Drosophila melanogaster: one gene and its partners. The protein of the gene in region 2 interacts with the protein of the main gene of each other region in a pairwise test. Each region holds a gene or a part of one and is shown on either strand. Other genes may lie near its edges.

Region 1 (8,151 bases), on a different chromosome or scaffold from region 2:
CTAAACAGACAAGACTGTCCTCCGCTCTTGTTGAACAGCATACCACTCCCGAAAGCAGACGAGGTAACGTACCTAGGAGTACACCTAGACAGAAGACTCACATGGCGCAGGCACATTGAAGCCAAAAAAACCCAACTTAAACTCAAAGCCAACAACTTACACTGGCTCATCAACTCTGGTTCTCCGCTCAGCCTAGATCACAAGGTCTTGCTCTACAATTCTATATTGAAACCAATCTGGACCTATGGCTCACAGTTATGGGGCAATGCCAGCAACAGCAATATTGACATCATTCAGCGAGCACAATCAAAGATTCTGAGAACCATCACTGGGGCACCGTGGTACGTTCGGAGTGAAAACATCCAAAGAGACTTAAATATCCCATCAGTTACCAACGCAATCACGGAACTTAAGGAAAAATACCATAGCAAGCTTCACACGCACCCCAACCACCTAGCGCGAGGTCTAATCCAGCTCAGCAGCCGTTCCCGTCTCCGGCGAAAGGACCTACCAACCCAGCGAATAAATTATTAGGGCCGTTTAAACATAGAACAGTTGGAAAAATAATACAACTGTTCAAAAAATACTTGTTATAGTTAAGATTTTTAAACTTATTGTTAGTTCTTATACAAGAAGATTCAATAAATAAAAGCAAAGTTAAAAAAAAAAAAAAAAAAAAAAAAAAAAAAATATCTGCACTCAGAAAAAAGTTTTTTAAACGTTTCATTTTTGTTAATAACTTATTTGCATTTTAATCGTTTGGATTTAAAGCATAAGATTTACATATATAAGAATTTTTGTTAAAACGATTTTGCACTACCAAGTTTATAGTAGTAGTAATAAAAAGGAAATAAAGAATTTATTAAAGGCTTGTTCTAAGTTCTAATTTCCATAAATAGCATGCTTCCTAAAACCCTTATTAACTGCCATTAAAACCAATTATTCCCTAAACAGCATGAATGAAAATAGGTGAGAAAGAAGTCGCTGCTAATTCAATTTTCCTTTCGCTTATCTAATGAAGTTCATCTGCATTCGGGGTGTTATTTTTACCCTTTATACCATTTTAATTACATTAAATTACATATTCCAAAAACAGACACGGCAGAATGACAACAACAACGGAATCACTTTCCAACAAAGGAGTGGGAGCGGAAGAGGAGCACAGACAGACAGAGAAAGAGAGGCACAGAGCAAAACGTCAAAGTTCGTTCACTTGTAAACATAAAATGAGCGGCAACTGCAAAACAGCAGCAATACCAACAACAAGCGGCAAACGGAAACCGACTGAACAACAACAATGGAGACCCAGAAGCCAAGACATACATGCACTGGAAAAAAATTTATATCAATATTTAATTTAAATTTGTGATATGTAACCACACATCGTAGTAAAAATCTACTCATAAATATTATCATATATGTAAATAATGAATTGATGGGAAATTTTATCTTAAAGCGAAGAAATTCGAAAGATATGTGCTTAGACAGCTTAAAATCGTTAGTAGTAGTAGCCTTTAACATATTCCAAGCTCCTCTACGGAAATTATAAATTATATGTTTGTTTATTATTATAGTATATAAGTGATTTTAAAAGTGCACTGCTTATTTATCTGAAAATTGTACTTTAATTTTTTGTTAAGTGTATCTAGCGATTGCAAGGGGGAGACCGAGAAAAAGAGCCTTTTTATGCGGCGCAACTTTGGCGCTTTTTATTAAACAAGCCGACGAAGTGTAGAAGCGAAGAATAGGATGAGGAGGTGGCGGTGGGGGAGAACTGGGGTTGATGGAGCCAAGAAGAGAGCGGATAAAAAGAGCAAAGCATAAAATGAACTTTGCCGGCTAAACCGGTAACACTTGTTTAACGCAAAAGAGAGTGCGGGAGAGCCAGTTATGTGCTGAAAGAGATATGTTAAGTAGAGAGCGACAGAGACAGAGAAAGCCTGATCGGAGAAAAGGGTTCTACAGGTGACAAAGACAAAAGACTGCCAAGACTCCTTTAATGTCATCATTATTGTCAATATAACAAGTTTATTGACTGGCAGCAGATGCCTAACCCCCCACACCTCCCTTGGCGATCCACCACGGGGTCATTAGACAAATTCCCGCGATAAGTTCTCTTCACTCATGCTAAAGCTCAGATTAAACGCAAGTTAATGACTTAATTAACTGCCGGAAAAAAGCGAGCAAGTAAACAAACAACAGCAAAAACTAAAGATAAAGATAAATGGTAAATGCAAGTGCGCAGAGAAATGGTCGACGATAAAAATTGTCGCAGAAATCAAGGAAATTAACGCGTGCAAATATGTATTTCTATAGAGGAAGAAAGCTGGAGAAAAGCAATTATTATAGGTATATTCCAGTAGAGGGCAAATGTCTTCTAACGGCACTTGCAACAGCTGAAGATTACCAAAGAACAGTGGGAAGTGTAACGGGCATCGATGGATTGATATAAAAAGATAAGAAGGTGCGGTGACCTAAGCAATATGACATTTTAGAAACTGAAAAATATTTAGCTGACATGCACTGTAACTTTTTGACATTCGGACATAAATGTTGTATACTCATTTCGTTTTCGGATATGTATCCCATTTCAGCAAGGATTTTTTGCTGGCAAAATGATTCTAGTCTTTTTATATTGGAGCCATTTTAAATGCAGCACTTATTTCTTTTATTCATTTTATAAGCATAAGATTGGTTATAATTTATTATATCGAAAAAATGGTTAATTAATTAATATTTAAATTGGAATCTATAAATATTTAAGTATTTACAAAGTGAATATCGATGTTCAAATTTCCATTGAGCGGGCCCAACACCTAGATTTGGGCACAGCTTCCGCCCCTAATTTCCTATTAGCCCTGTCGATTGCATAATCATCTTGAATTCTAATTAATTAAATGGTCTCTTATTTAGTTGTTTGTTGATGCTTTCTTTTTCCTGTCTGCTAATCAACAGGAGGCCAAGAAGTTGAGAGGAGACAGAGTGCGAGCGAGACAGCATCCAAACAAAAGGCATAACAGCCCTGTCTTTCACTTCGCTCTCTTTGGCTCTCTGGCTCTCCCGCCGAGAGTGTCAAATTCAAGGTCGCCCCCAGTGCTATACTACAAAGCGTATAGCTGAATAAAACCTCCTCTCACACCATTCGAGCGAAAGAGCGCATATTCAGCGTGTGAGCAGGAGAACGATACGGTGAGAGAGCGGCTTGGAAAGAGCCCCATGTTTTCAGTTCCTCAGTTTGTCAGCGTATGCCCTACCATGCGGATGTGCTCGCGGATTGATTTCGACTCGAACTCCGGCTCCGTTTTCGTCTTTTAACGTAAGTCCCGTGCGAAAAAGTTGAATTCGACTCCGTGTTTGTTCAGTTATTTTTTTGCGCGGTTTTCGAAAAAGTGAAAGAAATAAGGAAATTCAAAAAGCGGGGGAGGCATAAATGATATACAGCTAACGGTACTTATGTATGTGCATACAGCAAGATAAAAATGTGGCTGCTAGAAAAGTAAAGCCCGGTACTGTGCCAGATAAAAGCCAACGCTACTAAGTCCTAAAGACCCCCAAAAATTAAATTTTGACACAATAATATTTTGCCAACAACAAATAGCAAAGTCGAATTCAAACGGTTAAACCAAATTGAAGTCGGAAAATAACAAAAAAAGTCTAAACAAAATAAAGAGCAAAAGCAAACGCAAATAAGAGAATAGAGAGAAATATTTATTATTTGCTTATAAGGCCAAACTAAATATTTGCCGCCGGCAAATATTTAAAAGGTGTTAAGTGTTTCGTGGGAGTGAAGTTTTTAAACAGGGAAAATAAATCAAATAAGTATTCAATGGTGTATAAGTGAGTGCAAGTAGATGAGCAACATGTGTGTGTTTTAAAGTGTTTAAAGAGATCGAGAAAAAGCCCCAAAAGTTATTTGACAGCGATATCGAAAAATTCCAAAATGTGGCGTCAAATCCTGTTTATTTTACCCACCCTGATACAGGGGGTCCAGCGCTACGATCAGAGCCCCCTCGATGCGAGTCCGTATTATCGCAGCGGCGGGGGATTAATGGCCAGTTCTGGGACCGAACTAGATGGACTGCCACATCACAATCGCTGTGAACCCATCACCATATCGATCTGCAAGAATATACCATATAACATGACCATTATGCCAAATCTTATTGGCCATACCAAGCAGGAGGAGGCGGGTCTGGAGGTCCATCAGTTTGCTCCGCTCGTGAAGATCGGCTGCAGTGATGACCTCCAGTTGTTCCTCTGTTCCCTGTACGTTCCGGTCTGCACAATTTTGGAGCGACCCATTCCGCCTTGTCGATCTCTGTGCGAATCGGCGCGGGTATGTGAAAAGTTAATGAAAACCTACAACTTTAACTGGCCGGAAAATCTGGAGTGCTCCAAATTTCCCGTCCATGGAGGCGAGGATTTGTGCGTGGCGGAGAATACCACATCATCGGCCTCCACGGCGGCCACGCCCACAAGGAGTGTGGCTAAGGTCACTACCCGTAAACACCAGACGGGCGTAGAAAGTCCGCACCGAAACATTGGATTCGTGTGCCCCGTGCAACTGAAAACGCCTCTGGGAATGGGCTACGAACTAAAAGTTGGCGGAAAGGTAAGTTCTTTAATGAAAATAAATTCACTAAAAAGCGCCGAAAAATAAGCATCATATAAAAATAGGGGGTTATAGGCGCATACTGTATACCTTTTAAAACATTAGTTTTCTATTATTTATGCATTTAATTTTATGATTAAACATGTTATGATTATGACAAAAGTTAAAAACAAGTTCTATAATCATCCGTCGGGTGAGCACAAACTTTTAACCATGTCCAAACTAAAAACGAAGTTGCACAAATAAATTTTGGGTACTAACATCTGTTTAGCGAATGTATTTAGCGCTTTCTTGACTAAATGTATGCTTTAAGTACCCCAAGCCTTTTAGTGAGTATTTCGTTTATTTCTGGAACTTAATATGCCACATTTGGGTTGGTCCCATGTAGGTCAATGATTTTTTTATGTCTTCATTTGAACTCCAGACTCAATTTGTAGAGCAGCGTAGAAGTAGGGAAAAATGCAAATCCTGTTGCGCCGAGAAAACAATTTCCAACCACCAGGGAAAACAGCAGGAGGTCCTTGGCAGGCCAGGAATAACGAGAAGAAGGAGAGAAGGGCGACGAGCCCGCATTCTACCTGCCCGCAGCTCACAAAAGATGGTTAACAGCGGCAGGTAGATCGTTTTTTCTTTGGCTTCGGTTGAGGAAAGGTAAACCAGTTCTTTTTGGAGTTGTGTAATTTGTAATGCCTGCTTAAAAGTATTCCCAAAAAAAGTAAAAAAAAAATGTAACATGAACCATAGAATGTTTAATAACTTGAACTGAGGGTCAGCCTGTTGCATTTTCACGTTCTTTAATTAATTTTCCACCCTTTTCCTTTAGCAGCTTTTTTTCGGGTTCTTAAGCCCCTCAGCAGACTGATTTTTCCACGATTTATTTTCTGTTGGTTTTGGATGAGTGATGATCATCGTCTATGTGTTTCCAATGTGTTTATCTTTTGCTATTTTTAGCCGTCACTCTGTTGTTGCCGGCTGCCATAAGTAAAGCGCATTAAATACTTTGAGGCAGGATAATTCACACTTCCCTCAGTGTCTGGATATCTGGCGGATACATGTGTATCTCTTAGCTACTTTACCATTGCGATTTCTCGGTGTTTTTTCTTCTTTCGTCTCACTCGCTTTTTCTTGATTGGTCTCGTTTTTCCTTGGCTGTGTGTCATCAGTTCCTCTTGGCCTTGCTGCCTTCTTTCCATCCCCATATCATCATGGCTGTCAGCATCTTTGGTTTAGCCGGAGTCCCCAGACCCCGTGCTTAAATGCCTTTTGAGAGCTGCGTGCGAAATTTAGCAGCTTGTTTGCCTGGATTGCATTTGGCCCACATCACGATTCTGTCTGTAAGAGTATCTGCAAATGAATCCGTATCTGTATCTCTGTGTGTTTTGGCCCTGTTTGCCGTGCTTTATGAGCTAGATAGGTCTCTTTGTCTGCTAATGATAATGGCGCAGTGTGAGAGCGTGAATTAATGCTTATTGGATAGATAATGATCCGACAATATAAACATATAATTGCCATGTTAGAAACTAGTGGTATTAACAAGCGTTTTATAAGGGCTCCACAGGTACAGATAAGAAATTGGTCGAAATCAAAATTATAAACTTTATGATTAATAGACAAAGAACTATATTTTAACCCAGAGAAATATTGATTGATATTAGAAAAGACTATTACTAAAAGTTATTCTATTCAAACCGAGCTGTGAAAACACAATTGTCGATTGGCTATTTCATCTCGAATTCCTAAAATAACATTATTGCCCGACACCTTTGAACGATTTAACCCAAAGCCAACTTTTAACATGTTTCCTAAATTCAGCAGAGTATATTAAATATTAATTCCATTCATCTGGGCTAATTTTTCAATTTTCCTCTTTGAAATTTTCCGATTTGCTTGTCAGTCAGACCTTTTTGACTAAATTAACCAGTCACTCTCGTTGAAATTCGTGCCAACAAAAATCTGGCATACAAAATATGTAATTTCGCAAATCAATTACCCAAACCAAAGGGCAAAACACGGCCGGATGAATTAGAGTGCGAAATGCCGAATGGAATTAGTTGAAAATTCCCTCAGTCTGTGCTGAAATAATCATAGGCGAAAACCCGTAGGGCATGACACAACTCAACCCTTTTGCCGCATTTCACAGTCCTTTTTCTTGGCCTTTTCTTGCCCCGAATCCATTATGCAAAGGCTGCGGTGCGGGGTAGGAAAATCTGTTTTCCATCTGAAAGGAAACTGAGTGGAAAGCCAGCAGTCATAAGAGGGCACAATCAATTACGGATTCGTTCACAATTAAAAGTCCTGGTTGGGGGCGAGTCTCCGCTCCGGATGAATCAATTTAGGGCCTACAAATAATCCCCAAATCGGACTGATTCTCTTTCACTTCACCCCCTCTAAATGCGTCGAAAGCGTTCTAAATGAGGCTTTTAATGGATTTACGATTTCCTAAACAACCAAACTGAAATCCTTCCCGCCTTTCCGCAAACTAAACTGTTGTCCTTTCGCGCTCTTTGATTAATTTATTTTCGGCCGCCATGGGTTAGGCGGTGTTTGCAATCGGGGCACGGGCATTCTGGATAAAAGTGGGCGGTGGGCGGTGGGTGGCGTTCGTCTGGTTGCCCAGTTGTCTACACATGTAGCCATCAATCGGACATTGCCCCGCAGTAATCTGTTTGCTCTGAAAAGGTTTTGACGTCATCTAATGGTATACGTTTCGGTGGAATTCGACACGGAAAAGGGATAATGATGGCCGGAAGTAAATGGGAAGCTCAGTAGGATATTGAAGACATAAACACAAATACCAACGATTTTTCGTTGGGAAAATATAGACACTCAAACAGTTGAGCTGAACAGTAATTTCAAAACAATTGGCAGAATGAACAAAAATCTAAAGGATCACTACAGACTTCATCTCATATATGTATGTCACATAAGAATATTTGTTATAATACAATTCTATAGAATACGATTTCTGAAGGGATCAATCGATAACTTTTTTGTTGATCATAGTATATTTGCTTGCAGTCTTATCTCAGTTTTACATAAAAATAAATACAAAACAAACGTGTATAAAAAACAGCATTTACGGAATATACCAATAATCCCTAAACTACTCGACTTGTTTTTATTGCCCAGCCACTTTTATACTCCCGGCAGTTATCGACATCATTACCAGCAGCTCATCAGCAACATTTCACCGTTAAGCCGTGGGATAATCTCTCATTGGGTTTTCCACCCAACCTTCTTGTATTTCCTTCTGCTATCTGTGTAATTTATCCCTTAATTTGGGCCTTAATATATGTACCAACTATGGAAGAGGCTTTTGTTGTTTTTGCCATGTCGTGTTTTCTCCATTAAAACTATAATCCACTTTATATTTCACGCTTGAGCTGTTCAATTTATAACCAATAAATGTTAAGCCGATGACGATTATTTATTTATTTTAACACGTATCTCGTTTCCCCCCAAACGATGCGTGGAGAAATTGCAACAAAAGCGTTTTCAACTCAATTAATTTGACGGGGAAAGGGAAAATCTACTTCCGG
Region 2 (8,503 bases):
GATAAATTGTATGCAATTTATATATACAAGCGTGACTGACATGCAAATTGTGATAAATTAGAGGAGAAAACGCTGGGCGTAGAGGGTGTGCAAGCCACCCCTTTTTTTCTGGCTACCACCCCCCCACTGAGCCAACTTTGATAAGCAAACTTCCTTGACATCGAGCTGCCGATGAAGTATAGCAAACTTGGGGCCAAACTCAACTGATTTTGCTGCTGCTTTGGCTTTCACTCGTCTGGCAATTTGATAAAGTTATTACTGGATGCACTTCGGCGGGGGGAAGTCGGTCAGCTTAATTAAGCCAATGAATTATAAGCTCCACTCGGCACTCGATGCGGCTGCCTGCTGCTTTTGCATTCATTTTGAACTCTAATGAAGCGTAATTGATGCAGTTTCTGCATTATAAACATGTGACGTCCATTGATGAGTCGTTTTAATCAAATGAAATGCGGCGACGGCTTTTGCTGTTGGCCAATTACACACATTTGTCGGGCGGATGGCACTTGACTTTCGGAGTGCATATCGTATATAAATCACGCCCTAACACCTTAAACTCAATTTAACTTAGTTTGGGTAACTTGCAAGGAATTCGCAAAGAAATGCTAAGTTAGGTGACCACACTTAATTAATAACCATTAGCCCACAAGCTTTTGTTTAAAATCAAATTTCTGACTATTTCTTTCAAATATTTTAAATAATAATAGGCTTATATACAACCTTAATAGCTATGTTATTTAAATAGCTAAAAGGCACTACTATATGTATCTGGGCCAATAAATATGAATTCAATACATTACATGGCTTAAAGACACAGGAACATTTATCAAATTTATTCGAAATTATTGATTGCCTATAAACCGATTAAATAAATTCTCGCCTATTCATTTCACAGTTTGGCCCAAATAGCAATTGCAGAATAAATACCTTTAATTAATAGATTATTTACAAAAGTTTAGCTGCAATGCAATCAATATATCCGCACTTTTAAGGTAATTATGTTGCATTGTAATAGTTTTACTCAGAATAATGAGAACTTAATTTTCAGGTGGTAGACAATTAAACTTGCTAATCAATTTACGTTTGATAACTAATCTTCAATCGGCGTATTAATTTGCCACATACATATATCGAATTTGAATTGAAGGCAAAGAGTTCCGTCCCAATTTAAAGTGACTTATTCTTCCTAATGAGAAGCACAACGTCATTCACTTAATTTGACAGCCCGATCTGCCCGGCGGCCTCCATACGTGCATCCGCCCACCCAAATTGATAAGTCTAATTAATGCAATTGAAACAAATTTCTAGCATGCAAATCGACGGCACGGCACACATCTCTGGGCTCCCTGGCGTTTGGGCATACTCTGGATGCTTGGACATGCCTCATTAGCCAAAGTGCCACAAACTTTGGCTCCTCTAATTGAATTAACACTAATGAGGTCTCTCGCACACTCTCGAACTTCTGAATCACCCGATGCCGAGCTTGCCGATCCCGATTCCAGCGACGTGTGAATTCCTATTCCCCATCTGCAAGGGAATGGAACATCCTTTTTGCCACATTATTCATGCATTTGCCAACCGCAACCCAAAAACCACCCGCTCTACTTGACGTGATAGTGAATTTAGCAAAAACTAAAAACATCGTTTGGGGGGGGGGGGGGGCGGATGCGCCTGATGTGCAGGGCTGTCAATCAATCAATTTGGGCATCCAGCCATGGACAGGGTTGCCACCACACCGCTTCGGTTGCTTTGAACATGCGAGATTTTAGTTTGCCAACGGCCAAACAAGCTGTAATTTCATCGAGCAAGGACACTAAATTCCAGATTCTAATTGACGCATAAATATGGTAAATTCAATTTGTTTAGTTCATACAACTTCTGAAAGCCGGCATTTTATTAAATATAAATTAAATTCATTTTATTTCATGTTTTTAAGACATGGTCTTTCGAGTAAACAAAATAAACGTAAGTCAATATGGAATATAACAAGGCATTAAGCTTTTGCAGTTCAAACTTAGATATTTCATTGAAAGAAAACAATTTCACATAATATTTTTCCTGGGCATTGCGTTGATAGTTGATAGATAGCTTTTCGGAGCTAAGTAAATATTTAATTGGTATATGCTTTCACAGCCAGCATTCATAATTCATTTCGTGTATTAGACTTTTCCACCTGTTGAGCATCCGAAATACAATTATTAACGAAACCAAATCAATATCTAATTTCAACGGAGGAGCCCAGAGAAACATAGCCAACCAAATGCCATCAATCATGCGATAGACGCCGCATGACATAACCTATCCAGCTGCGTCTGGATTTGCTTCCATCTGTATTTGTATATGTAAATGTATCTGACTGTTTTTTTTTTCGGCTGTATCTACGGACCACTGCTGCCGTATAAAACTGAACCGTACGTGTGTATATGCATCAATTAAGCTTTTATTCTAACATAACAATTTTGAATGTGGCCGAAACCAGTTTTGAGTGCGCGACCAAGAGGGCCGATGCCTACGCAGAAGTATCTCATGGATAGCCGTGTGAGTAGTGGCCAAGAGAGGCCACCATAAACCCACAAAAGATACCGAAAAATGTGGACCATCAACGTCATCAATGAATCTCTGGTGTGTGCACACGAATTCGTCCAACTCCATGCCATGCAAATCTCATTTGGCCATTGGCCCTCTGATTCTGTAATAAATTCCACAATAGACTGTTGATATTTTGATGGACTCAAGCCGGTCACAAATCAGCCACATTAACTGGCACGAGACAGCATTCAAATGTTAATTAATCAAGAGTCATAACGAGTTTTCCTATGCCGGCATGGATATCGAATGGATTGACTGAGGTTAGTTCGCCGTGCGAGTTGGCTATTCGCAGTGAATGTGGCATCAGAAGCCGGAAAAAATCACCTTTTTCGTTGGCTCCTTGGCCAACTGAAGTCTTAACTGATCACTTCGAACTCAAAAAAACAAAAAACATAACCAATGAAAAACAGGTTGCGGCTACCGAAGAAGAAGAGGATGCGTTCTGGTCAGGATGATGGCCCGTAGCGGATCTGCCTGCCGGTGGTGGATTGCTCCTAACCTGGCCGAGACAGCTGCAAAACCGCGAAGAGAGCCAGGCGCTAACAAACTCATTTTAAGCACGGTAAAATATTTTATTTACCTACTTTTTCTTAAATTTTATTCAAGTAATTCCTCTACTACAACTTAATCTTTATATCCGCAATTATTTGATTTCAAATATAAATGGATTAAACTCATTCTACACATATTTCAAGAAAACAGCCTATTGTAAAAATTAAAGGATAACACCTTAAGCCTTTAACTCTTAATATTAATCGTCTTATAAAATATAATAGAACGACATTTGATGTTTTTGTGTGTAACTAAACTTGGATCACATAATTAACCTAAGTAAATAACTTTTTTTTCTCTGCACCAGCCGCAAGAAGAATGGGAAAAGGTTGGTAACACGCCGAGAAAGAGAGACAGAGAGAGCTAGAGAGAGGCAGGGAGAAAGGGGTCGAACGAGGAGCAGTAGCAGAAAACCAGTCTTACAACAATTTTTCAGCTACTTGCCACTGGCAGGCTCAAAATGGACTTGACTTGACTCTTCCAATTGCACCAAACACACCGCATTCCAACTAGAAAATCATAAAACATAAATGTGCGAGAGTATCTGGCCCCCATCGAAATATAACAAAGGCCCTGTTAATGGCCTCGAAAATAAAATCTATCTTAATAAATTGGCAATCCGACAAAACTGAGTCGAGTGAATAATGTATCCAGCAGATAAGTTTGTCCCGGCCTGCTGAAATATTTATGCGCCAGACAAAGGGCGCAGAAACAAAGATACAAACGCAATGGCAAAGGCAAAATCCCATGGACAAGTGTGAAATGCAGGGAAAACAAAGCACTTGCAACGCTCAGATACAGATACATTTGTATCTCGTGCAGGCATTTGATTCCACGATTCCCCGATTCCGATTTCGGTTATGTTTTGACCCAACTCTTCTCCTTTCTCTCCTCGCGCTCTCCGCGTTTTTGACCCACGTTTTAATGTGACTTTTATTGTGCTTCCTCCTTTTGTTGTCTCATTTGGTATTCAGTTTAATGTTTGTTTAGAGCTTCGCGTTTGTATCTTTTTGCGATGGCTCTGAACTTTAACAGTTGCACTGTGTGAGCGTCGGACTTCGACTTCGACTTCGGCCATCGGCCAACTGTTTGGGCCAACTGCTAATTGGAGATGGCCAAGAAAGAGGCCTTAGGTTTAAAGGCCCAATTGGAGCTCTATTTTATTGCCGAAGCCCTAGAGCTGAAAGCCGTTAATTAAGAACGTCTTAAATCGAAACATTTCAGAGGTAGCCAGAACCACTAAGCGTCTTTCCATATCATATAACAAATAAAGGTTCTAGCAATATTTCATACAGGCCCCCATTTATATGCAGATACAAAATACTTTTCTAGAGCTTATAACCCTTTGAAAATATGAATTACGCGATTCCGCTATGGCGTAAGCCCTTAAATACGAAGTTTATCTAAGAGATTTAAGGCCACGCCTGCGGAACATATAGTGTCCTGTTGGAACGACACCTGTCATACGTCATGAATCAGGTGTCATGCGTCGCACAATTCCCATTAGAATGCAGCCGCATCCCGCCCACAAGGACATATGTATATGCGCGAGCACATGCACATATCCTTGATATATCCTGGCTGGAACGTGTGAACTTACAGGCTTTTGTTTGCTCTGCCGCTGAATTTCCACGCGTGGGTGGCCAATAATCCGCTTTAGCTGCACGGCTGCATTGTTAAATATTTATAATATTGCATTTAAAATCGCGCATCCGTGTTGTTTCCTCTGCGTGAATCTTGTGTTTGTATTATTAACACAATATATTATAATTAGCACTCGCCAGTTTGTGTGACTGGCCTCACTCTAGAGCACTGTTTAAACTGATTTAACTATTTTGATTCCGGGAAATTCGAATAATTCGAATGCTAAACCGACTATAACCCCGACCGTTAAGCTGGGCGGCTAAAAAAAGGGGGTGGTTGTTGGAAAAGCCAACGCACTTTTCTGAAAACAGCAGGCGAAGAAAAGACCGCGCGCTAAAATTCACTGAGAGCGAGGATTGTTGTATGTTGTGTTGGCGAAAAACCGGTAATTTCGACCGTCGAAGTTGTTACTTTGGGTTTGCGTTTACCTCTGCCTTTTGGCTTTGCACTTGCCTTTGCATTTGTCTTTGCTTTTGACTTTGCAGAGACGCGCACGCGTAGCCCCGAGTGAAAAATAATACCGTTCTTGCTGGCCAAACGCTCAAAACGCGTCCAATCGGTCCGGAGTCGCAGTGGTAACTGGCAAAACCAGAAACAGAAACTGAGTTTCTTGCTAAAACTCAGTTGGAAGCCGAAGCGAGTTCGTGTATCCGATGGATACTTTCGTCGGTGGTGGATTTTCTGCGGGGGGTGACTGCGTGTTGCAGCAACATTGCCGCGACTGTTGCAACATGTTGCGGCAGCAGAGAGAGGTGCCACCAAATTTCGGTTTGCATCCCCGAGCATAAAAACGTGCAATTTGATCCAGGATTCTTCAACCTGTAGGATATTCAATCTTTGGAAACTTCGAAAGTCTTTTTCTTATCAGTAAATTAGTTTTGCAGCACGCTTTGCATGCTCAAAGATTTAAATCGACTCAATTTATTAAATGTGATATTTATATAATTTTACTACTATTTATTAAATAAATGTTAAATAAATGTGTTATCTGTGCATCGGGCCAACACCTGTAATCGGAATTAGTTTGCGAATCTAAAGATGGTGGAACATTATCCCTTACGGGTAAAACTTGAACATAAAATTGCTAACTTATAAATTTACATGTGGTGTATTCATTTGTTAATATTAATAAATAATATTCCATATAGCCTAGTTTTTGTGTCCCACCAATAATAATTCATTTTCTGTTGAACGCCTTGGTTTGAAAACTAAATAAACAAACAAACATATTATTTGGCATAATTAAGCGATAGTCTAAATCAACGCAATTTATGTTCAGAAACATAATATGCTAAAAGTTCACTGTCAAAACCAAAAATGTAGTACACCATTAAAACCGACCAAATGACCGTTTTCCATGTTATGATGAGGTTCAAGTGTCAAGAGCTGTTAAGTGAATAGTTTCAATTACGAAGCCATTAGGGATGAATCATTATTCCAATTGGGATCTATACATAGGTATGCCAGAAATTCGCATGTTCCTGCTTGCCATTCGATTAGATTTCAGTTTATCGAATTATGCAAAATATTTAATGCAATTTTGGTTGGCAGAATTCGGCAGCAGTGATAAACATATGCTGGGACCCAGAAACCGAACAAGCTTTTGGCCCACAAGGACAACAGTCGTGGGTAATGGCTACGCTGGTAGATGTATGTATGTGTCGGCGGAATTTATAGCTTACAGGAAGGTGTTGGCCAAGACATCGTCGTTTGGCCAACAACTCGCATTTGGCCAGCTGACGTGGTCCGAATACTTCCGAATAGCAACGAATCGAAGGGATTTTGGGAGGAATCGAAGGAATAGGAGAATAGGAGACCGAAATGGGGGTTTCTTGCATGTAATTGACATTGGCCCCTTGCGTTTGATTAATTGCATTTGGTTGAGGCTCTTCCAAGCCATTGACTCGGAATGCTCTGAATTCCCCCATTGATCTGTATCCGTGTCTATGTAACCTTGTGGCCATGTGTAGCTAGCTGCATCCGTAATCTGTAACCGTTTCAATTTGTATCTGTGTGCTTTTTGCGGGGCAATAAATTCGACATGTTCGACATGCTTTCCAATTACTGAGCGCTGGCATTAAACAAATGCAGCACACTTGACACACGTCGAAAGCCGGCAGCCCTTTTCGGAGATCGGAGTTGGAAGATGGGTTATCAGGAGGGAACAAGGCCAAACCTCCACGATTCAGCGTGTCCAGCCAAGCAGGCCAAACACTTGGAAAAATATCACTTCGAGGAATTTTGTTTAAATAAGCAAAGTCCGATTTTTGTATTCAATATAAATAAACAATCTGAGAGTAGTAAAAAAATATGTAAAATGCACTCAACGTATCAGCGTCTTCTTGTTTATGTGGCACATTTTTGTTTGGATTGAGTGGCTATCCATCCATAGTGTCCACATCTTTCTCTCTCTGCAGGACGAAGACACTTGTCTCTGCATTTGGTTTATGCAAGTGCCGCCTGCGAGCGATATAAAAACGCAGGAAGGGGAGGAAGGCGAAGGGGTTTTGCTGCCGCTTCACTGAACCTCAATGTGCGCAAGGATGAGATGGGAGGTTGGTTAGTGGGCGTAGAGGTCAGGGTGTTCAGTGGGTGGCGCTGAGTGGGGGGGGGGTTGGGGGCGTGTGGGATCGGAAGAAACATAACTCAACAATGCAAAGGACGAGCAGCGGGCAAAAAGCGCAAAGCAAGCCAAGGAGCCACAGGCTGCATCTTCAGAAGGAGCAATTTGAGCGTTCTTTCGCTCGACAAACGCTGCCCATGCATAGTTTATGATCCCCCCTCTCATATCTATGCATTTTGCTGAATTAAACCAACTGCACAGAATGTCGCAGATAATTCAATGCACCTACCTACACACAGCACAGTTTTATGGCTCTCATTGTCATCCCCGTTCTCGTCCTCGCAGCGTTATCCTGCAATGTGGAGGAGTCGAAAAGTGCCACGAGGGTAATTTAAAAATCCATTTGTGTTTTGAGATTTCGCCGGCAGGACCTGGGAGATGTAAGCTGGCCAACAATTGCGGTTAGCGGTGTGTAGAAAAAAATACGGGAAAAAAAATGAATGAAATAGGAAAAGGCATGCTGGAAAATTGGCGAGTGCGGAAAATGGAAAATGCGAACGTCAAATGCCCGACTTGACTGCGTGACACAATTTCAATTTGCATTGACAGCATGAATTATAGCAAATAATCCCCGCCGGCAAATGCGATTTTAGTGATGCCAGGAGCTTCAGTTTTCCAGCTATCCAACTTGCCAGTTTCCCAGTTCTTTCCGACCCAGGTCAAGCTATTTTCCTGGGAGCAGGGAGCCGGGAATTCGAGGTCCATCTGTTATTGATATGGAAATGATGCGCACACCAAAAATAGAATGCCGCTCGAGGAAAAACAAGCAATCTTGCAAAAATAAAGCAAAGCAAAGGACGCGACTCGAAATGAAATAAAATAAAACAGCGGCAATAAAAGCAAATATAATTTAAATTTTATGCAACGGCAAGGAAAGTTAATTTTGCCCAACAGAATGGGGAAAAAAACGCAAAAAAAAGGGGGGGCAGATAGCTACTGGAAAAGAAAGAGAAATAGAAAAATAGAAAAGAAATTGTGAAAATTGTGGAGAGAGCTAATGAGGAGAAAGCCAAAAGCACAAATATGAGTGGACGATAGATAACCAAAAATTCTCCTAAAATGGCAATTTAAGCTTAAATTTCACAAGTATTTTACCCA
Region 3 (8,142 bases), 3.6 Mb from region 2:
AGTTTACCAAGCACGTAGCGTCCTAAGCACCCTTCCCTAATCTTATGACGGGCACCTCAGATCAGATCAGATTCTTTATAATGGTATGCAGTTTTAATAGTCCGGCTTTTGAATGTACTTACTAAGCTCTAAATTATTCATTTTTCCTGGTGTAGAGTTAGCCGTAGGTGGATGTACCAACTAGGCTGACAACACGTGTTTTTTTAAGCTAAATTGCTATCTGGAATCGGAGGAGTCGAAATGCATCCATCTGCGAGCTGGCTTTCTCCGCAAAGTGCCGCGCAGATGGGGGGCGAAATTAATTTGCGGAAATCTCGACGCTCGAGTGGCTAAAATATTTCAAGCAAATCACGATTATCAACTTGAATTCCAGCTTCAGATCTGTGCGGGCGATCGCCGATCGGCCAGACACTTTCACAAGCTTTTCGACCAAGTGACATTTGTGCCAGTTTGTTACTTGGCTCGATTTGCATTTGGTTCTCATTAGGCCACCGCCGTCTGATTGATGGCAATTTCTAAAGTTTGTATTTTTAGAGCTCCCATGGAAATCAATGCGGTGTGTGGGCGACTGGAGATCTCGGCAATGCCATTTGGTAATTGTCCAGGTCCAGACCCAAGTTGCCACAATTTGGTAACGATTTGTAAAGGGGCATGACGGCACAAAACGGGCTTCAGGTTCGCTTCCCACCTGTATTTGGCCAACAAAGCGATGGCCATTAAATTAATTACACGGCCTGTGCTCTCCGCCGATTTCAATTAAACGTAAATTACGAAAATTAAACGCAACAATGCGCCAAACTGGTTATCGAAGTGCCCGACTCCCGATCGTGGCTAGAACACTTTACTTGGCTTACACACGCTCCCAATCAGCAACCTCTGACTTATTGCCACTAAATTGACTCCATCCTGATACGGAGCTCCTCGGAATTGTACATATGTAGCATATGTACCGCACAGGGCATCCAAGGAGAAAAGATAATCATAATCGGGCGGCAGAACAGGAAATATAATGAGCTTGCAAAGAAACGCCCTTCAATTTAGCCAGCTCCTCCCTCCCTTTCCCCTTTCCCCTTTGGCCCACGGCTTGTTTGGCTAATTTTATTTTGCGGTTTTCGATTTTATTTCATAAACACATTTCTGCTTTGCAAAATACTTAACCCTCCATCCCTCCCCTCCTTTGACCCGCCACTTCGAGATTATAAATTGAGTTTCCCCCAACTCGAGGCGAAATCAATCAACTCTTCTGTCTTCTTCTCCATTCACTTGTAAATCTTGTGTTTTGTTAATGCGTTTTATGGATTCTCGATTAGGTGTTGAATCAATAAAACGCGAGTTCTGACTTCCCAGCCACTTTAAGACAAAGATGGCTTATAAAACATTTGGCCCTGGGATTGTGTCACACTATAATGTGTGTGTCACTATAATAGGGGGTTGAATCTTCTGGAGAACAAGTTGTGGTTTTGATTGGCTTCGTTCGCTGACAGCCAGAGAAATTGCCCGAACGCCCAGCGAAAAAATAATTTGAAAATATGTAGAAAGAAGAAGAAAGGCCAAAGAAAATCAGATCCACTTCACTGAAGCGCTGAGCACCGAAGGGGCGTTACTTGATGTGTCCGCGAATCAGTTAAAGTCAGATTAAGCTCCCGCCCCTCACGACCATGCCTCTTCCCTACACGATTGTCGGCCTTTTGCCATTTCAATTAAAATGCCATATATCACGGCCAAAAGGCTTTCGCTCCAACTCCATTCCATTCCACTCGAATCCACTCGCAACTACTGCGCACATCGAATGCAATTAAAATCAAATGCGTAGCTCATTTTTAAATCACAGCAAATCGTAAACCGATAAGTCCGGAGTGAACCACTCGGGTGGTCCATGGACGCGGACTAGCCCCTCGCTTCTGGCCAACTTCAATTAGCCAGGCTGGCAAAAGAGGGCCGCCGGCGGTCCCAACTTATTTACTTTATTGTTGAGATTCCTATGCAAAGTGTTCGGCCGGCCAGGCGCTTAATTACGCTTTAAGTAGCCGCCAGTCAATATTGGGTTTGGTTTATTTAAACTGCGAATGTAATAGCCCCGCTGATTGCGAATGGCTCGAGAGGATGTGCATATGGATGTGGAACTGGAGGTGGAACTGGAGGTGGATGTGCGTCTCAAATTACAAAGTTCTGTTTAAGGGAAATTGATGGCGCACTCCTTCCACCAATATTTTATGGCTTCACCCAAAACAAAATCTAATTAACAGTTTGCGTAGATTTATGAACAGAAGTCCATGCAAATGAAGTCTGCATGCGGAATGCAGAGAATACAAAAGATGGAAGAGATGGCAGAAATGGCAAAGATGCCGAGGACCTGAAAGATCTGAAAGATCTGAAAGATACAGAATACCTTTTCGATGAAGGGCACTCAGTCAGGCGGCAAAAAGAACTCAATTTATGAAGTCGTCGGATGGAATTTATGAGGCTGCAGGATGCAAACACAAGGTGACGGGCGATCGGAGGAGAAGGACCTCGTGAGGATGGGCTCAGTGGACCCGAAGTTCTGCCAGCCTCGTTTAACCGCTGCTGTTGCCACTTAGCTGCATGCAATTCATTTTGCAGTTAACAAAACTCGACAGCGAGGCGAAGGAAGGAGCACGTGCTGGCCAGAAAGTTGATAAATAACTTTCCGGTGCCAGTTTTGCAAATAGTCGGGCATTAATAACACCTTCTTAGCGAGCCCACAAAGTCGCCTCCAGCTGACAGAGCCTCTTATGGCGGATTATTTGTGCCATTATTCGAGGGTGACCTGTAGGATTTGTACTCTCAGCGCAATTGAAACTGATACGCGTAGCCAACAACGGCTGTTGATCAGGTGAAAATGATAAACTCCGCTCTATTTATGAGCCGCCAAAGAGGTATGCCTTATCGTTCTGGATTCCTTAAGAAGTTCTGAAGAAATTAATTTATCCTAAACAATATGAAATCTAATAAGGGAAAGAAATGGCGATGGTGACAAAAATGACAACAGAAAAAAAGATCACGGGATTAATTCCATATTAACATTGCAAACTTCAAATGGGCTATAAACCCAAGGGCCAAAAACAACAATCGTGTCCATTGGTTTATTACCTTTTAAACAATTGCAATTGTAGTCGGTAAATTCGGTAAATTGTTTGGCCTTCGTACTTCTCTTTCAATAGTTGTAAAAACAACATTGGTAGAAAGTTGCAGACCCACATTTTCAACGGCAGCTAAAAGGTATTAAATTACCAAACACGAAAGCGGCCATTTTCAATATAACGAGTATTAACTCAACGTAAGTCGGAAATCTATAAAGCTGTCAGTGTGCCAGCCCATTTTAATGCGATCTGCCTTGCCTATAACTTCGAATAGCCAGTTTAATTTGAAGAACCATAAAGTATGATTCCAGTGGTTAGGAATAGAATCCTCCAGAACCCAACTGCTCCTCAACTCGGAGCACGGAGCACGGCTCATATGAAGCTATTAAGCAGCCATCAAATTGGGCCGTAAACTCTCTACTGCGACGCCCGTTTTATAGTCACTTAAATTGGGAAATGCAAAGCTCATCAAATGGATTTCAAATTAGTTGGCCACATTCCCGCCGACAACTCCGCTTTCCCTCGCCCACTTATCGCCGAGAGTTATGGCCATTAGAGATAGCCGGTGGAAACTCACATTTTGGGTGCTGTGGCTGCCGGCGGTGGCGGCCTCTTTGAGTGGCCATCAAATCTGGCCAATTGTTCTTCAATATCGCTGAGCTGGATATCGTCGGCAATGGCCTGGTTGAAGTAGCAGTTGGCCTTCCTCCTGCTCTTGTCCACCTCGAGGAGCTGCTCCGTATCCTTGGGATTTAGCCAAACGGCGTTCCTGTTGCGGCAGCGGTTCAGGTTCCTCAGATCGTCATATCGGAGGATCTGCTGCCCCTGGATCCTTGCTATCTGGGAGGGCGTTAAGCTGCCGGTCAGCATGGCCACCTCCACGTCATCGTCGGTCTCCCCGTTGCAGGAGATTCCCGAGGAGTGGAACTGATCCTCGCTGCTCAGCTTCCTCTGCACGCAGCCGGAGGATTGGGCCACGGCCATGGCCAAAGTGGGTGCAGGGGATTCGTTGGGCAGCTCCAGCGCTATTTCGTAGGGTGCTAGGGTGATCGTGGTGGCCTTTGGCTTGGTCTTGGTTCGCACTGCCGACTTGATGATGCACTTCGCAGGGGCGTTGCCCCGATGTTTGGAGCACGTGGACTTGCTACTCTGCTTCCTGGGCGTCAGTTTGGTCACCGTCGATAGCCGGGACTGCTGTCCAGCTCCTATCTGCGGCATTTTCGGCGGCTGAACCTGCTCCTCCAGCCGCTCCCGGCTGGCCAGGCGCTCCCTTTCCGCGGACACAGCCCGTCGGCGACTCCGCCGTATGCTGGGCATGTTCCGGGGGAACAGCTTGCCCGCCTCCGCCTGGGAGCTCTTGGAGAGACTGTCGCAGCTCCGGTGGCGGGTGGGACTGCCGCTGCTGGCGGTGGTGGTGGAGCTGTCGCTAATCGTGGTGGCCGTGTTGGCCAGCACTGAGGAGCACTCGCTCAGGTTGACGATGTCCCGGTAGTTCCTCGACTGATCCTGCTTGCCCACCTGCGGCAGCCGGATCTTCCACCAGCGCTTCTTCGAGAGCATCGCGGTGAGTGGAACGCACGTCAATCACGGGTCGCGGGCCAATCAATCAATTGACACATTAACGAACGGGGAACACCTTAAGCAGTTGGCAGGTATGCGGCGGCCTGCAATTACCGTCGCCAGCAATTAACGGGCGATCCGCTTGCTCCAATTACGTGCACTCGCGATCGGATTGATACGTATCGGCTGGGATTCTATCTGAATTCCTGGTTCGCGAAAGAACAGCACTCGCACCGCTCGCTTTGGGGCTGCTCAAACAACTGAAGATTGTAGAAAGTAGCTGTTGGCCGAAAGGCGGCTTTTGGCCAGGTTGGTGCAGGTCAAACTCACCACCAAGACGATCCAGCCAACTCACCACAGCTCTCTTTCTCTCATCTATATATCTCTCGCTCGCTCTTGTGGCCCAAGCAAGTGCAGGTAAAACAGGTGGCACAGGTGAGTCGAGTGGCTTTCGGTTGAGTGCTTCGGATTCGAGCCAGAATGTGGTGGCGTTTATTAGCCAGCTATTGAAGAGGCAGATTCTGGTAGCTGCAACTGGTTGATGCAGCTGTCTTCGGGCCATTTGACACATTTCAGGCCGTTTAGCGATTGACCCATTTCAATCACGGCCAACAAGGGAAGACCACGGCCAGCGTCCCTTGGGCGTTGTGTTACCACATTAGCAGCGCACTCATAGGTGGTCATTAGACTGCGGGCTTGGTGAAAATGTGGTAATCGGGTAAGGCCCCTCTCATGAAATCCATCCGTTTGCCCCGGAATGGAAATGAAGACGGGCGGATGGAACGTGGACGAGGGAACAAACCAATCATTGGAAATTAGGGTTTGTGGCTTCCCTATGCTGCACGGGACTCTCTTCTTGTGGCAGCACACGGACGGTAATGGAGTCGACACCGATTTCACATATTATTCAATTAACACGCAGCTACTGATTCATTGCAATTGAGGCTGAGCTAGAATTTACTAGCCAGTGCAATTATGTCCTGTTGATATTTGGGATAAGTATTCTTCAAAATGGTTTTTAGTTTAAAGTTATGTGGTGATTTTGATAATCGACTTAATAGATCAAAGACCAGTTTCACTTCCGAGGCATTCCACTAACTATCTCGGATATAAAAATGCTATGAAAATTATTTGCACAATATAAAATGTGTCTTTCGTTGAATTATTTTGAGTCGCTATATAAAGTGTCTCTCTCGATGAATTAATTAGAGCCGCTAACTTCTCACACTTTGCAATTATACTTTCTTCTCTGGCTACTAACAACCAGAAATAATTTAAAATTAGTGACCTTTACTACAAGCTAAAGGATTCAATTGAATTTTTAACTTACCTTCAAAACTCTCCCAAACGAATTGCCATTGCGAAGTTTGCGTTTTAACAAATTGTTTCACCAACTGCAATGAAAGACGAAAGTAAATAAATTAATTTCCCCATTTAACGTTAAATATTTGCACTCTCTTTCGACACTCAAAGAGTGATGGGCGAAATGGCCCAACTAATTGAGGACCAGGCCAGAAGAGAACAGCCAACATGAAGCGGCTGAAGGCAAACGAAATAAGCAAGTGACTGCCAAAAGTATTTTAATTGCCCGGAGTTTTCCGAAAAGAGGGGCGTCAAAACTTTATTTGACAGTTGGAACAACTGAACAATTCATGAAACAATTTTGATTAAAACCGAGACACACGGTCTCCAACTGGAGAAATGTCAGCGAAAGCAGTTGTCAGATGCCAGCAGCAGGTGAAAATTGGTGCACTGAGAACATTAGATGCTCAAGGTGATTGTATTATCATTATCGTTAGTAATCAATCATTGGTTGTATGGTCGATAGACAATGCCTTTAAGCTCCATTCAACTATAAAACTAACTTCTGAATTAGATTCACTACATTTCCCGACCACATCTTAAAGAAGGATGTTCTGCTTGATTTAAATGACAATATGAATACTCCTGACTGAATACTGTAAAGAAGTGAAAAGTGGGGATAATTTTTCCAAGTGTAGCCCTTTTCCCACTTTGGCCATGGCCAACAGGTTAAAGTCAACGTCATTGCAGCAGGAGCGCAAAAAACAACAAGCCCGAAAGTGACGCTAGTAAAACAACGACGATAATATCCTGCAGAGGTCGTAAAAGTTGAGATTTGAACGTGCAACGTACACGTGTAAGTCAAAAGTTGCCCCGGGCGGTGGGCGGTGGGCGATGGTCGGAGGAGGGGCGTGGCTGTTTGGCGCAGCTGCCGCCACTACGCGACACAAGATGGCGCTGCGTGGCACTAAAAAGTATTAAAACAATTTACACTTTGTAAAAAAGGCAGCAACGGGGCAATAACACCGACTGTTGTGCGGCTTGTCGCACGTGTCGCGTGGGGTGGGGGGTGTGTAGCTGTGGAGGGGTGGCTGTGTAGTGTTTTATTAATATTTTTTTCACTTGCCCCAAACAACATGGTGCCTGTCATAATCATAACTGTATCTCAGCGGCAAAGACAACGGGAAAATGGTAACAAAAATATAAGGAAATAAAATAAAATCAGGGTTGCCGTTGACAATCGCGTTATCATAATTCTCTTCTACTAAATTCAAATAGCATTTTCGCCTATTTGCATAAACAATGTGAAAGTCGTAAAGTGAAAAATTGCAAAATATATATAAAACACACAAGCGAGTGGGCAAAGGCAGTGGCAAAGAGAAAGGCAGGGCGAAAGCACTTCAAAAGGGGCGGATGGGCATAGATGGGCATAGAACGCGCAAAAAGTAAAGCTGCAATTGCTCGCTGAACAGTGAAGGCACAGTGGGGCAAATCGGTGAACCAAGGTGGTACTTAAGCCCCACAATGTTAAAAATTATATGTATATTCCAAACAAAAGTCTACTATGTATTTATTTATATAGATATGTGCTTGTGATATTTACGCTGGCATAGAATATACTTCGTTTCTAGCATATATTTCATATTTCACAATTATGTTCTTGAGGTTGGAGTTTTCTTCAAAATTCAATATATATTGTTGTAAGAATAACTAAATATTTAGTAAATTCATTTAAATATGAACTGTTCTAATAAGACAATCTTCGAATGGTTTAGTAAGCTTTCATCAATATTCCTATGGTTTTTATGACTTAAAATTAATTAAAATTTCGCATCTACGAATTGCGCATTGAACAGAATAACTTTACACTAACACTACATTCAATCAAATAACTTAAAGTTACCGTTAATTTTGTTAGCATTTTTGTACTATTCAAGGTGGAACCACAGTGTGCATCCTCTTGCGATTCTCTGGTTGCTTCCGCCATGGCATAAAAACCACCAACAGGGAGTCTTTTCAATGAAAAGCGAGGTGCGTAGCCCCAATCCGCTTGCCAATCTCGGCGGCTGTGCCTCCTCCTGCTCCTCCTGCCCCTCGTCTGACTTCCTCTTAAGACAATAAGCACTGGGCCAGGATGTTTGATGGGGAGTTGGGCTGGAAAGGCAGGCAGGAATCAGCG

What was found. Proteins that work in one complex are often made in the same cells at the same time.
Region 1: the proteins of stan (region 2) and fz interact in binary tests that used the Drosophila melanogaster proteins (3 or more experiments, as listed by UniProt).
Region 3: the proteins of stan (region 2) and esn interact in a two-hybrid assay, tested with the Drosophila melanogaster proteins (one study listed by BioGRID).

What each region holds. Positions count from the first base shown.
Region 1 is NT_037436.4:14,271,115-14,279,265, forward strand, and holds the start of fz (frizzled), read left to right. Parts: upstream 1-3,228; 5' UTR 3,229-3,940; coding exon 3,941-4,612; intron 4,613-8,151. UniProt on the Drosophila melanogaster protein: Receptor for Wnt proteins.
Region 2 is NT_033778.4:10,670,205-10,678,707, reverse strand, and holds the start of stan (starry night), read right to left. Parts: upstream 5,364-8,503; 5' UTR 4,739-5,363; intron 1-4,738. UniProt on the Drosophila melanogaster protein: Involved in the fz signaling pathway that controls wing tissue polarity. Also mediates homophilic cell adhesion. May play a role in initiating prehair morphogenesis. May play a critical role in tissue polarity and in formation of normal dendrite fields.
Region 3 is NT_033778.4:7,103,461-7,111,602, reverse strand, and holds the start of esn (espinas), read right to left. Parts: upstream 4,924-8,142; 5' UTR 4,662-4,923; coding exon 3,679-4,661; intron 1-3,678.